2 linked regions of the Caenorhabditis elegans genome follow. The protein of the gene in region 2 interacts with the protein of the main gene of each other region in a pairwise test. Each region holds a gene or a part of one and is shown on either strand. Other genes may lie near its edges.

What was found.
Region 1: the proteins of kin-20 (region 2) and atl-1 interact in a two-hybrid assay, tested with the Caenorhabditis elegans proteins (2 studies listed by BioGRID).

What each region holds. Positions count from the first base shown.
Region 1 is NC_003283.11:9,642,182-9,647,068, forward strand, and holds the start of atl-1 (Serine/threonine-protein kinase ATR), read right to left. Parts: upstream 3,294-4,887; 5' UTR 3,274-3,293; coding exon 3,200-3,273; intron 3,153-3,199; coding exon 3,051-3,152; intron 3,003-3,050; coding exon 2,938-3,002; intron 2,894-2,937; coding exon 2,814-2,893; intron 2,766-2,813; coding exon 2,283-2,765; intron 2,238-2,282; coding exon 2,010-2,237; intron 1,963-2,009; coding exon 884-1,962; intron 840-883; coding exon 1-839. Other genes in the region: hcp-2 (HoloCentric chromosome binding Protein), read left to right, coding at 3,701-3,751, 3,797-4,398, 4,446-4,887. UniProt on the Caenorhabditis elegans protein: Serine/threonine protein kinase which activates checkpoint signaling upon genotoxic stresses such as ionizing radiation (IR), ultraviolet light (UV), or DNA replication stalling, thereby acting as a DNA damage sensor.
Region 2 is NC_003284.9:15,268,039-15,275,828, reverse strand, and holds kin-20 (Casein kinase I), read left to right. Parts: upstream 1-2,089; 5' UTR 2,090-2,136; coding exon 2,137-2,677; intron 2,678-2,876; coding exon 2,877-3,319; intron 3,320-3,377; coding exon 3,378-3,501; intron 3,502-4,286; coding exon 4,287-4,602; intron 4,603-4,705; coding exon of another isoform or gene 4,706-4,724; exon of another isoform or gene 4,725-4,746; intron 4,747-5,080; coding exon of another isoform or gene 5,081-5,096; exon of another isoform or gene 5,097-5,169; intron 5,170-6,102; coding exon 6,103-6,172; 3' UTR 6,173-7,213; downstream 7,214-7,790. UniProt on the Caenorhabditis elegans protein: Essential serine/threonine-protein kinase that regulates diverse cellular growth and survival processes including Wnt signaling, DNA repair and circadian rhythms. Casein kinases are operationally defined by their preferential utilization of acidic proteins.

The sequences.
Region 1 (4,887 bases), on a different chromosome or scaffold from region 2:
AATGCATAAAAACTTGTTTTCTGTACGAGCTTATCACGGTTCGTATATCTTCATCTTTAAAATCACAGTGATCCGAACAAAATTTCCAAAACGACGTTGTATTCCTATTATTTTCGAAAGCAAGAAATTGAACAAGTTGTGCAAATGTCTCTGTGATCAGTGATTTTCTTTGAATCATAACAATTCGAATATCACTTGGATTTGGCGAGATTGAAGACATTGAAACACTTGCGGCACTCATTTCTTGGCAGATAAAGTCGATAACAGAAAGTGTAAGCTTCGAGTTTATTCCGCGAGCACTGGAAAGCAACGACCAGTAGAGAAGACTTGGACGAATCATGTTGAATGTGATCTTCTGATTCGGAAAATTGAAATCACTTAGCACGTGAGATAGATAACATCTTGTGATTTCTCGAATTCTGTGTTCATCGTAACTTGGTTTTTGAGCTCCAGCTGAAGAAGCATCAAAGAAGAGTCGGTTTAAAAAGCATCGAGTGAAGATTGTAGAATATCGTTTGAACATAATTTGAAGTGCTTCCTCACATGTGCCTACTGGTGCTTTTATCAAACACTGAGAGAATTGTGTTTTCCAGGTATATGAGACATTCCAATCGATTTCACAATTTTTGAGCACGGAATGAGCAAACGAAGAAGCAAAGAGCGTAGCTTTGACTGTACTTGACAATCTTGCGGATAACACATTGCTTAAAAAGCCATGAACTTTCAAAGCAGCGTCATCTCCAAGCAGAGCAAATGAACGGCCGATGAGCGGGATATACATCTGTAGTTTCTTCTCGACGGTGGCTTCACTTCTACAGCATACCAGTTCCCAGACACGACTGAAATTATTACAGATGGATTATTTGTATTTGTGTAAACTTACAAGTATGCATTGGCATTTTCTGAAAATCCAATGTCAAGTGCTTTAATAATTGATGTGAACGAGGAAGCAATTCCTTTCGAATCGACGTGTAATAGCATTACACGGGAAGTTTGCAGGAACTCTCGAATTAGTTCTTGAGAAAACGTATTTCTTCTCGCAACAATTCCTTTGATCAAACCAGAAAGCGATTCATAATCGATTTTGACATTTTCCTTTGAATCCGGATCAACAAAACATTCTTCTCCGCACTTTTTGCAAGAATTTCTTCCATTTGCAGCCAGGCAGAATAATTTTTGCAAAGTCTTGAAATACTTCAATATTGTTAATTCACTATAGAATTCTTGTTTTTCGCATAACTTCGCGATGAGAATAGTGATAAAGTCATTAATCAACTGAAGATTATCTGTCAAAAACAGAATAAGCGGTTCGAAGCTATTTGCAATCCGGTCGGTTTGAGATTTCGAAAACACTGCAAGCGACATTTCAGCTACCAGATTGATATACTTTCCCGTCTTCTTTTCAAGTTGAAGAGCACAGTTTACAGCTCGCAATTTTGTAGATTCCGATGTGCTCCTCTCGAGAACTGTAGTGAATCGTTCCAAGTTAATTAATTCTGACGGCTCCGATTTTGGTAAACCAATGAATCTGAAGTTGTCCCATTTTGAGCCAACTCGATCACGAAAATCCTGGAAACAAGGAATCAATAAAAATGGAATAATTTGTTTCACTCCTTCATCGTTATTGTTGGCAAATGGACAAGACGCAGTCACAATGACAAGAGAGTTTAAAGTAGCTCTCGATGACTCGCCATTCAATAATGTGATCCACAATTTGTCTATAGACGGGACGAATTTCTTGCAGAATTGCTGGCAATGAGGATTCTGTACACTGAGTAGAGATCTAAGAATTCGTGGCCAAAGCGGATTGTTGAGGGAATGATGAGCCTCAATCTCTGTGGCAAAACATTGAAAAATGTCTAGTTTCTGAATTCGAGCAAGTTTCAGCAGAGACGCCAATATGTCCAGGTAATCAGCAAGGCAATCAGTGTGTGTACTTTGAATAGAGTGTTTGATTCGCCGCTGTAACAATTCCGAGATTTAATTGTTTAATATTCTAATTAACTCACCATGCAAATCTCACTTGCTGTCATACATAGCCTCGCAGGAAACTCATGTATATCATGGTTTGTCGATAAATCTAACAACAACAAGGAAAAGTTTTCTAGTAGTCCAAACTTGTCATTTGCATCATCGATTAACTCTAAATAAATTATGAGCCATTGAACTGGTTTTTGTCGAAGTTCTTTATGCATAATCAAAACTTTGCCATGATCCTGTAGAAAGTGTTGTATCTCCTGAAATTGATAAATTATACATTCGAAGTATAAAAATGAAATTACATTCAATAGCTTTGGAAACGTCATGTGATTGGTCGACTTCTTCGCAGTTAATGAGTTAAATGTGGCAAACAGTTCATCAATGAACAGGGCCTGATCAAGAATAGAATTGTGCAGTTTTTTATATTTTAAGATTGTCAATCCAGCACGCAAGCAATTTTCGGTCATCGAGCAATCATTTTTCAGTTTGTCTTCCAACTGTGATCGGCAGTGAGGCCAAAACAGAACCAATTCATCGAAATGAACGCATTCTCCTGCGTTTTCTCCGAATAAAGTTGAAATGATATTCCACTTCAAATGATATCTAAAAAATCCTGAGGCACCTAATGAAATAGCTGAAGCAATTTCAGGAGTGATTAATTGTGGCAGAGAAGACGAAGGTTCGACGTCACAATATTTAACAACTTCCAGTAATCCTTGCAGGAAATAAATAGTTTCTCTCGGGTCTTGTTTCGTCACAGAGATCATCAGTACTGATAGAATTCGCTGAAATAAATAAAAAACATTGAATTATTGAATATAATTCTTGCTAACGTCAAAACATTTTGCCAATTCTTCATCCTCAAAGGCACACATCGACGCAATCACTGATTGAAATAATCTTATTTTTTCCTCTGGAACGAATATATTAATACAAATACTAAATTGTATTTTCTACCTGAAGAAAGTTCCTGCTTCTCTGTTATTAAATGTAATGTAAATGTTATACTCTGAAGGATCATTCTGAAAAAACATAAATATAATCATCATCTTCTACATTTTCCAACTCACATCTTTTCCATGAACTCATTTTCGTCTAACTGCTCGATTCGGGAAACGAAAGATTTCGATAACAATTTAGTTATGTCATCTAACAAGAATTTCATTTTTTGTCTGAAAATGTAAAATAAAAAAGTTAAGATAAGATTTAATAATTATACCTGTTGAATTCTTTCTGCGTCACATATTTTTTCGCCGTACATAGCAGAGCTGAAACATCCTTATCGATATTCATTCCCAAATATCTGAAAGCCTGCGCACGTTATTTCAGTGGTTCGATGGATATTTAACAATATTTAAAATATATTGCTAACGTTTTTGTGATAATATTATGAAGAATTCACTAATACTTACTAAAAATAAGGAAACGAACAAAGTTTAAAAATAAATTCCTTCCGCAAAAAAAATTAAGCAAAATATAGAGTTCGATTGGATCGAATATATTCGAATTTGCATTGCAAATACAAACTCGCCCTATTGAAACGGCGCGAAATTTTAAACGATTGCTCCAGTTTTTGTATTGTTTTGTTGAAAATTATTATTTTCTCGTGAAGTTCCAGATTCACTTCGTTTTATTTCGTTAAACGTGGACTGTTTTTTTCAATAGTGCAATTCCCCAACTCATTATCGTAAATTCTCAGACGAATTTGATCAAATTCAATATGGAGGAAAGTACAAACGACGGCGATGAAAACAAGCCTGCAACTGGGAAGGTAAATTAAATATTTTTGTATTTATCAAAAGCAAAACAATTTCAGAAGCGACAACAGCTTGAATCTCCGTTTTCTGCTGCGACACCGAAATCGCGTCTCGGAAAGGAATCGAAAAGGTTTTTCGGGCGTTCTGCTATGAATTTGGCCGATGGAAATCTTGAAGAAACTCGCATTGAGCCAGACTCGCGCCATTCGTCTACCAGTACCTCCGACTCTATTCTTGATGATTCTTCAATCTCCAATTTTTCCACACTCGCCCCGCCAAATACCTCCGTTGATGATAACAGTGTCTGTGAACCGCCAAGAGCTTCCTCAGCTCATGATGTCGATCCTAATTTGGAACAAACGAAGGTTTACAGTGAAGACAGCATCAGCAAAGACTGTAGCATTGCTGACGAGAGTTTTGCGACTGATGGTGACGTCACACTGGCGAACGACTTCTTCCAACAAGCAACGATTCAAGATCTAGAGAATACTCCGTCAACACCACTTCGGAGCCAGACACAAGTTGGAGACGAAAGTACACCAACTGCTCCTTCCCCACTTCGTTCGAAAATTCCAATCGAGAGTGAGGTTGTGCAGTCAACTTCTGTAGAGTCAGTTCAGTCAACATCTCAGCATGAAAAATCGAGAATTGAATATTCTTTGTAAGATTAATTTAAATTTATTCCCATTGTTAAATTGTTTATTTCAGATATGAATTCGAAATGCTGGAGAAAAATATCGAGCATGATGAAGTCGTTAAAGATCTTCAATTGAAAATTGAACTTCTTGGAGAGAAACATAGACAAACTCTTGTTGAAATTAAAGAAGCTCGTGAAGTTGAAGAGAAAATGCTCATGCAACAAGTGGAGGAGGCTGTAAAAAAGACGAAATCTGAGCGCGAAGCTGCAAAAACTCTGGAACAACTTCTTGAGAAACGGATTGAAGAGCTCGAGATGAAATTAACGGAGCCGAACGGAGAGAAACTACAGTTTGAACATCAGTTGGAAGAGTTGAAGAGTCGTTGTGAAGAGCTTACTGACAAAGCACTGAAGGTTGATGTCATGCAACACAGCATTGAGGACTACGAAAAAAAGTTTGTGGAGTTGCAAGAAATGAAAGAGGAGGCTGATGAACAACTGCAAAAGGCTAAG
Region 2 (7,790 bases):
CTCTCATTTTCAAATGAGAGTTTTTCCGCGCAGGGTGGCCGTCCCCGTCCCCCAATCTATCTTTCCACATACACCGTAGCAGCAGCAGCAGCAGCAGTAGCAGCAAAAGCACCCTTTCGCAAGGGCGCTAGACCGGTTTTTCTTTCCACAAGGCGGGCGGGCGCGCGCGCGGCGAGCGCTCGTCCCAATGTCCTCACTTTTATCCTTCCACCCCTCCTCCTCCTGTCTGGCCCTCCCCTTCTCCCACTATCACCACAGTCTGGTCTCTCTCTCCCACGTTGTATTTGTGTGTGTGTGTGTGTGTGTGTGTGTGTGTGTGTGTGTGTGTGTGAGTGTGTGAGCGCTGTTAGAGCGAAATGGAAAGTGAAAAAGGTGAGAGCGAGGAGAATTCAGAGAAGCACACAGAAAATGTGGGGGGGGAGAAGAAAGGGCTGTTTCTGTCTGGCCTGCAACGCGCCGCAGCCGCACGGTTAGGGCGCTGCTACGCGTCGCGTCGGCAGGCGCGCTTTCGATCTCTCCCCTCTTATTCCTACCGCCACCCCGCAAGCTTCGCCTTCGCCGCGCTGTCTAATACGCTTTCTATCCGTCCATCTCTCTTTCCATATCTCTCTCTCTCCGTCTTTTTGATCCATCGCTACGTTGTTCTGTATACAACGCAGAAAGACTACGTGAAGGCGACGCACTGCCGCCGCAGCAGTCCCCAGCAGCAGCAGCATCCTTTCCTTTCTGTTTCGCCCTCGTTTCCGCATCCATTGCTTTTCTTCTTCTCCATCTCTTCATCTTTCACTTTCCAAACTGTTTCTTGTACGATTGCACTTTCGTTTCTATTCCCTCCCCGTCGGTTTTTCGCTTTCCCTCGTTGTTTCTTCGAACCTGACTTGACTAACTAGGGATTTTTTTTGTTTTTCTATATAGTGTTTTTAGAGTTTTTATAGCGAAAATTTGAAAAAAAAATGAATGCTTTAAGTTTTTCGCCTTTTTTCGAGGTTTCAAAGGTACCTTACAAACGCCTGTTAAGTTTTCTGATCTAAAACATAAAAAAATTATGTAAACATTTGAGACATTTCTGATATAAAATGTTTATACGCAGCATAAGAAGTGCATAAGAAATTTTAATTTTTGCCTAATCAATAATTTTTTTGTTAAATTCATATCCTTGAAATGTTTCATTCAAACTTTTGATTTTTGAACTTTTGCGTACCCTCATCATTGGGAACACAACCCATTTGTACCTGTTCCACAATTTACCTAAAGATCAATTTTCGCATTTATTTGCCCAGTCAGTAACGTGATGTTTGTTTCTCCCCCCCCCCCCCCTTCTCCACCTTTCCTCTTATTCTTGGTTTTCCCCCCTTCTCTTTTGCGTACTATTTCGGATCATCACAAAGGTCGATTTTCTGCACCTCTGCGCTTCACCATCCAACATGATATCTCTCTCGTTCGCTCGCCCAGAAGTCATTTCGAACTGATTTGCCAAAAAGAGGACGCGCGTGAGATAGAGGAAAAGGGAGCGAGCGCAGAAGCAGCGCGAGGTGACAGAAAAACGCCTGAAAACACGTTTTCTTCTGTCGTTCCCCTCCCACTTTCCATTTTTTTTTGCCGCAAGGTTAGATTGCACACGTCAGATGTAAGAACAAAGCACTTTTGTGTGTGTATGTGTGTGTGCGTGTGTGTGTATGGTGACTGTCCCTGTCCCTGTGTGTGAGGCCATTTGCGCACTTGGCACGAAAATCTAGTTTTTCAACGCATTAAAAAGTGAGATAGAGAAGCAACAAAAAAAGAGACACCAACAAGAAAAACTTTATCTCTTTCACTTTTTTTTCACTGTTTGCGTTCGTTCCGTTCCTTGTTAGGGGGAACTTCAATGAGGGGTTTACGTAGACTTTTAGTGCAAGTACTTTCTCTGTTTTCAATTTCAACTGTTTTCAATCTTTGGCTCAGACTTATCAGTATTCTATTTTGTGGCTCGTGTTTCTCTCACGTGACACTTTTCCTCTCCTCCTATCTTTGCCAAATTTTTTTTTCTGATTGCTTCATTTGACTCTTCGTTTTGGCGTATTTCTAACCAAACTCGACTCTCTGATTTTTGCCACGTTTTAGCTGGAGGGTGTCTGTCCCGATTGTGCAGAGAGGTGTATGGCGACAATGTCAAATGATGCCGCCGCTGCAGCAACCTGGCACAACAACACGAGCACACCGATGGACACCACCGAACCAGCCACGAACAGTCATAATCCCGGTGAAACGGCGGTGATCGGTGGCCCAGAGGCCCTATTATTACCATCTGGCAGCGGGCCAGAGGAAATGAATAGGCACCCTCTGTTGATGGCGCAAGCACACGGAGAACACCATCAGCCACGGCTGCTCCATAATTTTCCAGTCATACCTCCACCTATACAGCAACACCAACAACCTCCTCTATTACAACAAGCTCAACCTTCTCAAATACCACATCCAACTCAACCCCAAATAGACCCCACAATGTTCACACAACAGTCTGGATTCAATTGGCCGCCCATAGACCCGAATACAATAGCAGCGTTGGCTCAGGCACAGCTAGCATCTTCTCATGCACAATTTGTGTCGTTGGCTTTAACGCTTGATCCAACGCTATTATCACATTTTTTGGCGACACAGCAGATACCTCCAGTTCCGCAGCCATTAGTGCACAAGAAAGGTGAATAAGCGGGGTGGCTTGGCAAAAGGTCATGAAAAGTGAAAGGCTTTTCGAACAAAAAAAAACTTGATTTTAATCGCGCCAGTAGTCAGGTAGTAAAATGCGCTTTACGTCAATGTCAGAGCGATTTGAAATCTAAAGTGCAAAATTCACAATACCAGATTTATGAATTGTGAATAATATATATTCAAATTTTCAGCGGAGATGGAACTTCGTGTCGGCAATCGTTTCCGCCTCGGTCGCAAAATCGGAAGCGGCTCGTTCGGTGACATCTACTTGGGTCAAAATATTCAAACAAATGAAGAAGTGGCGGTGAAGCTGGAATGTGTCAAATCCAAACACCCTCAGCTGCACATTGAATCACGGCTCTACCGCATAATGCTCGGAGGCATTGGAATTCCAGAGATTCGGTGGTGCGGGCAGGAAGGTGACTACAACGTTATGGTGATGGAGTTACTAGGCCCTTCACTCGAGGATCTGTTCAACTTTTGCCAACGAAAATTCTCGCTGAAAACCGTCCTGCTGCTTGCCGATCAAATGTTGTCTCGTGTGGAATTTATTCATTGCCGAGATTACATTCATCGCGATATTAAGCCGGATAACTTTTTGATGGGTCTTGGAAAGCGAGGAAATCTGGTCTATGTAAGTTTTTCTTTTGTGAGGGATTAGCCAGCCTACTATGTTGTGCCTTTTTTTGCAGATTATTGATTTTGGACTAGCGAAACGCTATCGTGATAGCAAACATCAACATATCGCATATCGGGAAAATAAGAATCTAACTGGAACTGCAAGATACGCCAGTATAAATACTCATCGAGGAATTGGTATGTTTTTGAAGTTGCATTAACAGTGAAGCACTTCAAAGGTGGAGTAGCACCAGTGGGGAAAGTGTTAAAAACTACTCCTATGGAGCCGAAATGAGCGAATAACAAAATAAAACTTTTCAAAAAAAAATTTGAAAATTTTTTATTTACAGTCAAAAAGTGACAAATACTTAGTTTTTACCACTCATAATTTTGAAAGTCGACCAAAAACACATTTTCCTACATTTTTTATAATTTAAATTTGTTGTAATTATTGCGACATTTCTTTGAATTTCCTCAAAAGCTTATGTGTGTTTCAAAAACTTTGGCAATTTGCCAAAACTTTGACCAGAAAATTTAAAAAAAATCTAAAATTTTTTGAAGTGTTTTGTTATGATATTCGGTCGTTTTGGAACATTATAAGTTTATTTAGCAAAAATCCCCTCTAGCGCTGCTCCACCTTTAAAAATGAAACGCAATATTTTTACAGTAACAGTAAAAATCATGATCCTATAATTTTTTTTTGAAAATTTGATAACCATTTCTTCCAACCCAAAGAATAATCCATTATTCGCCCATTCACACGTGGGGTTAGGTTGTCCCATTACGGTTTGATCTACTAAAAATGGGGGAATTTTTTGCCCAAAAAATGTGACGTCAGCAGGCTCTTAACCATGAGAAATCAGTTGAGAAGCCTGCGTCTCTTCTCCCGCATTTTCCGAAGATCTACGTAGATCAAACCAAAATGGGGCACGCTGACACCACGTGCATTCATACAACTTTGAATCAATTTGTTTTTTTTTCAGAACAATCACGAAGAGACGACATTGAGTCTCTTGGCTACGTGTTTATGTACTTTAATCGTGGAACTCTCCCGTGGCAGGGACTAAAAGCTGTCACAAAGCGGCAAAAGTATGAGCTGATATCAGAGAAGAAGATTTCGACGCGAGTTGACGACCTGTGCGCTGGCTACCCCGAGGCGTTTGCCCAGTACCTCAACTATTGCCGTAGTCTTGGATTTGAAGAGCAGCCTGATTATGGTTATTTGAGAAATTTGTTCCGCACGTTATTCCATCGGCAACAGTTTTGCTATGACTACGTGTTTGACTGGAATACATACAAGTGAGTGTTTCCTATTGATTTTTCTATTGATTTGCAAAGATTTTGAAACAAAAAAATATAGAAAATGGAGAAGAAAACGAAGGCAATCCCCTAATTTTTCCAGATTTGACTTGCCATTTTAACTCAAATTCCCCTCAAAAAAAGGTTTCTCACACACGTTCTGTTGTGATGTGTGTGTGTGTATTTTTCTTTGTTGTTTTGTACTTCTTCTTTCTGCTATTTTAATTTTAATATTTCAAGCTGTTTTCTTTCTTGCTTAGAATTTTGATTTCATCATTTTTTCATAAACTATAGCTTATTTCCGTTGGTGTCTCGTCACTGTGATGTTGCTAAACCGACGAGTGAAACAAATAGTATGTAGTGGCTAGATGATAATGCTTTTGAACGAATAACCGGTAAACTAGCGGTGTACTTTGCTTTCATTTTTCTACATTCACCAAATAATACAAAACTACTGACACGCTTTGTGTTTTTACAGATTTCGTCGCAACTGAAACTGATCGCATTGTGTGTCTGAAAATCCAAATAAAAACATACTATCCTAAGAATAGATTTGAACTGCCAGAGGTAAGAGTTGAGCACCACCACCACCGCACGTTTCCAATTTGCACCCGTTTTAACCAATCACTAATTTGGATTTTTGACTTTTTTTTAATTTTGAAAAAATCGAAAAATATCTCTAGTAACTAAAAACAAATTAGTCTTGCATACAGCAAAAAAAATATCTTCAAATTTTTTCCTATATAAAGCTCCGCCCATATCTTGGTTTTTTGGAATATTTTTGAACACGTACACTTTTTCGTTTTAAAGGTGGAAAAGCGCCAGTAAGAAAATGGGAGCAGAAATTGATAAAAAACCACTCCTATAATACAATGCCAAAATTGCCAAATATCATAGTAAAACGTTTCAAAAAAGGATATTGAAAATTCTTTTATTGACAGTTCCAAAGTGGCATTTGCCCCAGGTCTTGCCGCTTTTTTGAAAACGGCGGATCAGAAAAAAATTTTTGCTCCGAATTTTATGGCCTAAATTATTACTTGTGAATTGTAGGGATTCAAGAATGCGACAGTGCTCTAGTTTTGGAAATTTTAAAAGTGGAAAAACTTACGAATTGCCACTTTTTGACTGTCAATAAATATTTTTCAAAAAATTTTCCGAAAAGTTTTACTACGATATTTGGTTTTTTTTGGCACCATAGAAGTGGTTTTTAACAATTCTCCCAATGGTGTTACTTCACTTTTGCAACATTTTCAACCCAAAACTTTGAAAAGTTCACTTAATATTCCCCAACGAGTAATGTACTTATCTGTTTTGAAAAAAATGCCTCAATTTTTCACGAAAATTTAGTTTTTTTTTTGTTTTCCCTGTGTTTTCCTTTGTTGAAAATCTCGTAATTGGAAAATTCAAATTGTTATTTTTTAAAAATTTAAATTACAATTTTCAAATTCCCTGCACTCACCGTACTCGAGCAACTTTGATTCCAGAATTTCAATTTTGCAGATTCTACAACGAAAGTCTGGAGGCTCGGAACAATTTCCAGCAAGCGGTACCAAATCAACGTCGACATTAATTGTATCATCTCCTTTTCAAGTTTGTGCTCCATTTCCTCTTTAATATCTCATTTCTTACCCCCGTTTTGTGATACTATTCATGTTTCATTTGCCTCTTCCTTTTCTCCTCCTTCCTGTCTCTTTTTTTCCTCTGTGTTTTTTTGTTGTTTTCTTAAAAACAACAACAACAACAACAACCTGTTTCTAGTATTTCACTTGCAACGTTTTCTTCCATTTCTCTCTGTTCATTTTCCTCGCTCTGTCATTGATCTTTGTCTCAGTTTTTTCGGATGTATATTTTTACTTTTTTGACTTTTTTTTGTCTTCTTAATTGTTCCAGCTTAACAATCGTCTCTTTCTCTTACGAGTTTGGGTTTTTTGAACTTTTTTTCTAATTTTTCCAATTCATCGTTTACTTCTTTTCATATTATGAATACAATATACTAGATCATAGGATTTTGAATAAAAAACTGCCTTCATCCTTTTCGGACTATCTCTCTTACCTTTCTCACTGTTTCTTTTTTTCTCTCACTCGCTCCCCTCAACCTCTCTCTCTCTCTCACTCTCACTCAATCTGTCGCAATTAAAAGAATATATATATATATACATATAATATATATATATATATATATAACTTACCTCATTATATTGTGATTTAGGAAACAGTAATGTAACTACCACTTTTTTCTAATTTTCCCCCCTCAATCATTCCTTTTTGCGCAGAACGTTTCCAAAAAAAAAAACCAATTCTTGGCAATGCCGTGTGTCGTAAATGTGTCCTTTTTAATTTTACTTTTTCCTTTTTACACTTTTTTTGAAAATTATTGATTAATATGGTGTTTTTTTAATTCTCAAACGTCGCTTCTGCGGGTGAAGAGACCTACTGTATCAAACTTGATCCCCTCAATCCCCCCTCGCCCCGTCCCAATTCCTTTCTTCTCACAAAAGTTCACCTTTTATTTTTGCAGACTGGTAAAATGTATGTTTTGTCATTTTCTTTAATTCCTTATCCTTCTATTTTTTTGTTGTTCAAATGATTTCAAAAAAAAAAACAATTTTTTTCAAGCAAGCATTTTATATGTTGAGCAAATGTATGAGAGCACACTACACAGGTTGGGCGGAAGTGAACATTTAAGGGGATGGGTCAAATTTGAAAAAAAAACAACAACATACATAAGAACATATAAATTCTATATTACAGTAAGAATACGAAAATTGTTAATAGATTGCAATGGCCTTGTTTTGTAAAAAACACATCATTTGAAAAAAATTGTTGCATCAACTACACAAGTGCAAGAGTATTTAATAAAATCCATGTAAATTCAAATATTGCTGTTTTCCTAATTTTTACCTACTACTACCGGTTCAGAGAGTGGTATCAGTTGCAGAAACACAGACATCTTGGGATGTTTCCCAATGGGCGGGGTTGCGGGAAGAGCCGATTTGTGTGGATTTACGGAACGCTTTATAAATCGACACAAAATGGTTTTTCGCGCGCCCGTTCCCTTGGGCCTCGAGATGCATTGGTTTTTCAACTGACTACAATCTCTAGACCGGTGATATGACAAACGTTTGAAAATTTTTCAAAACATTTTATCTTGATATTTTAATTATTCAGTTTTAAGATAACTTTAGCAT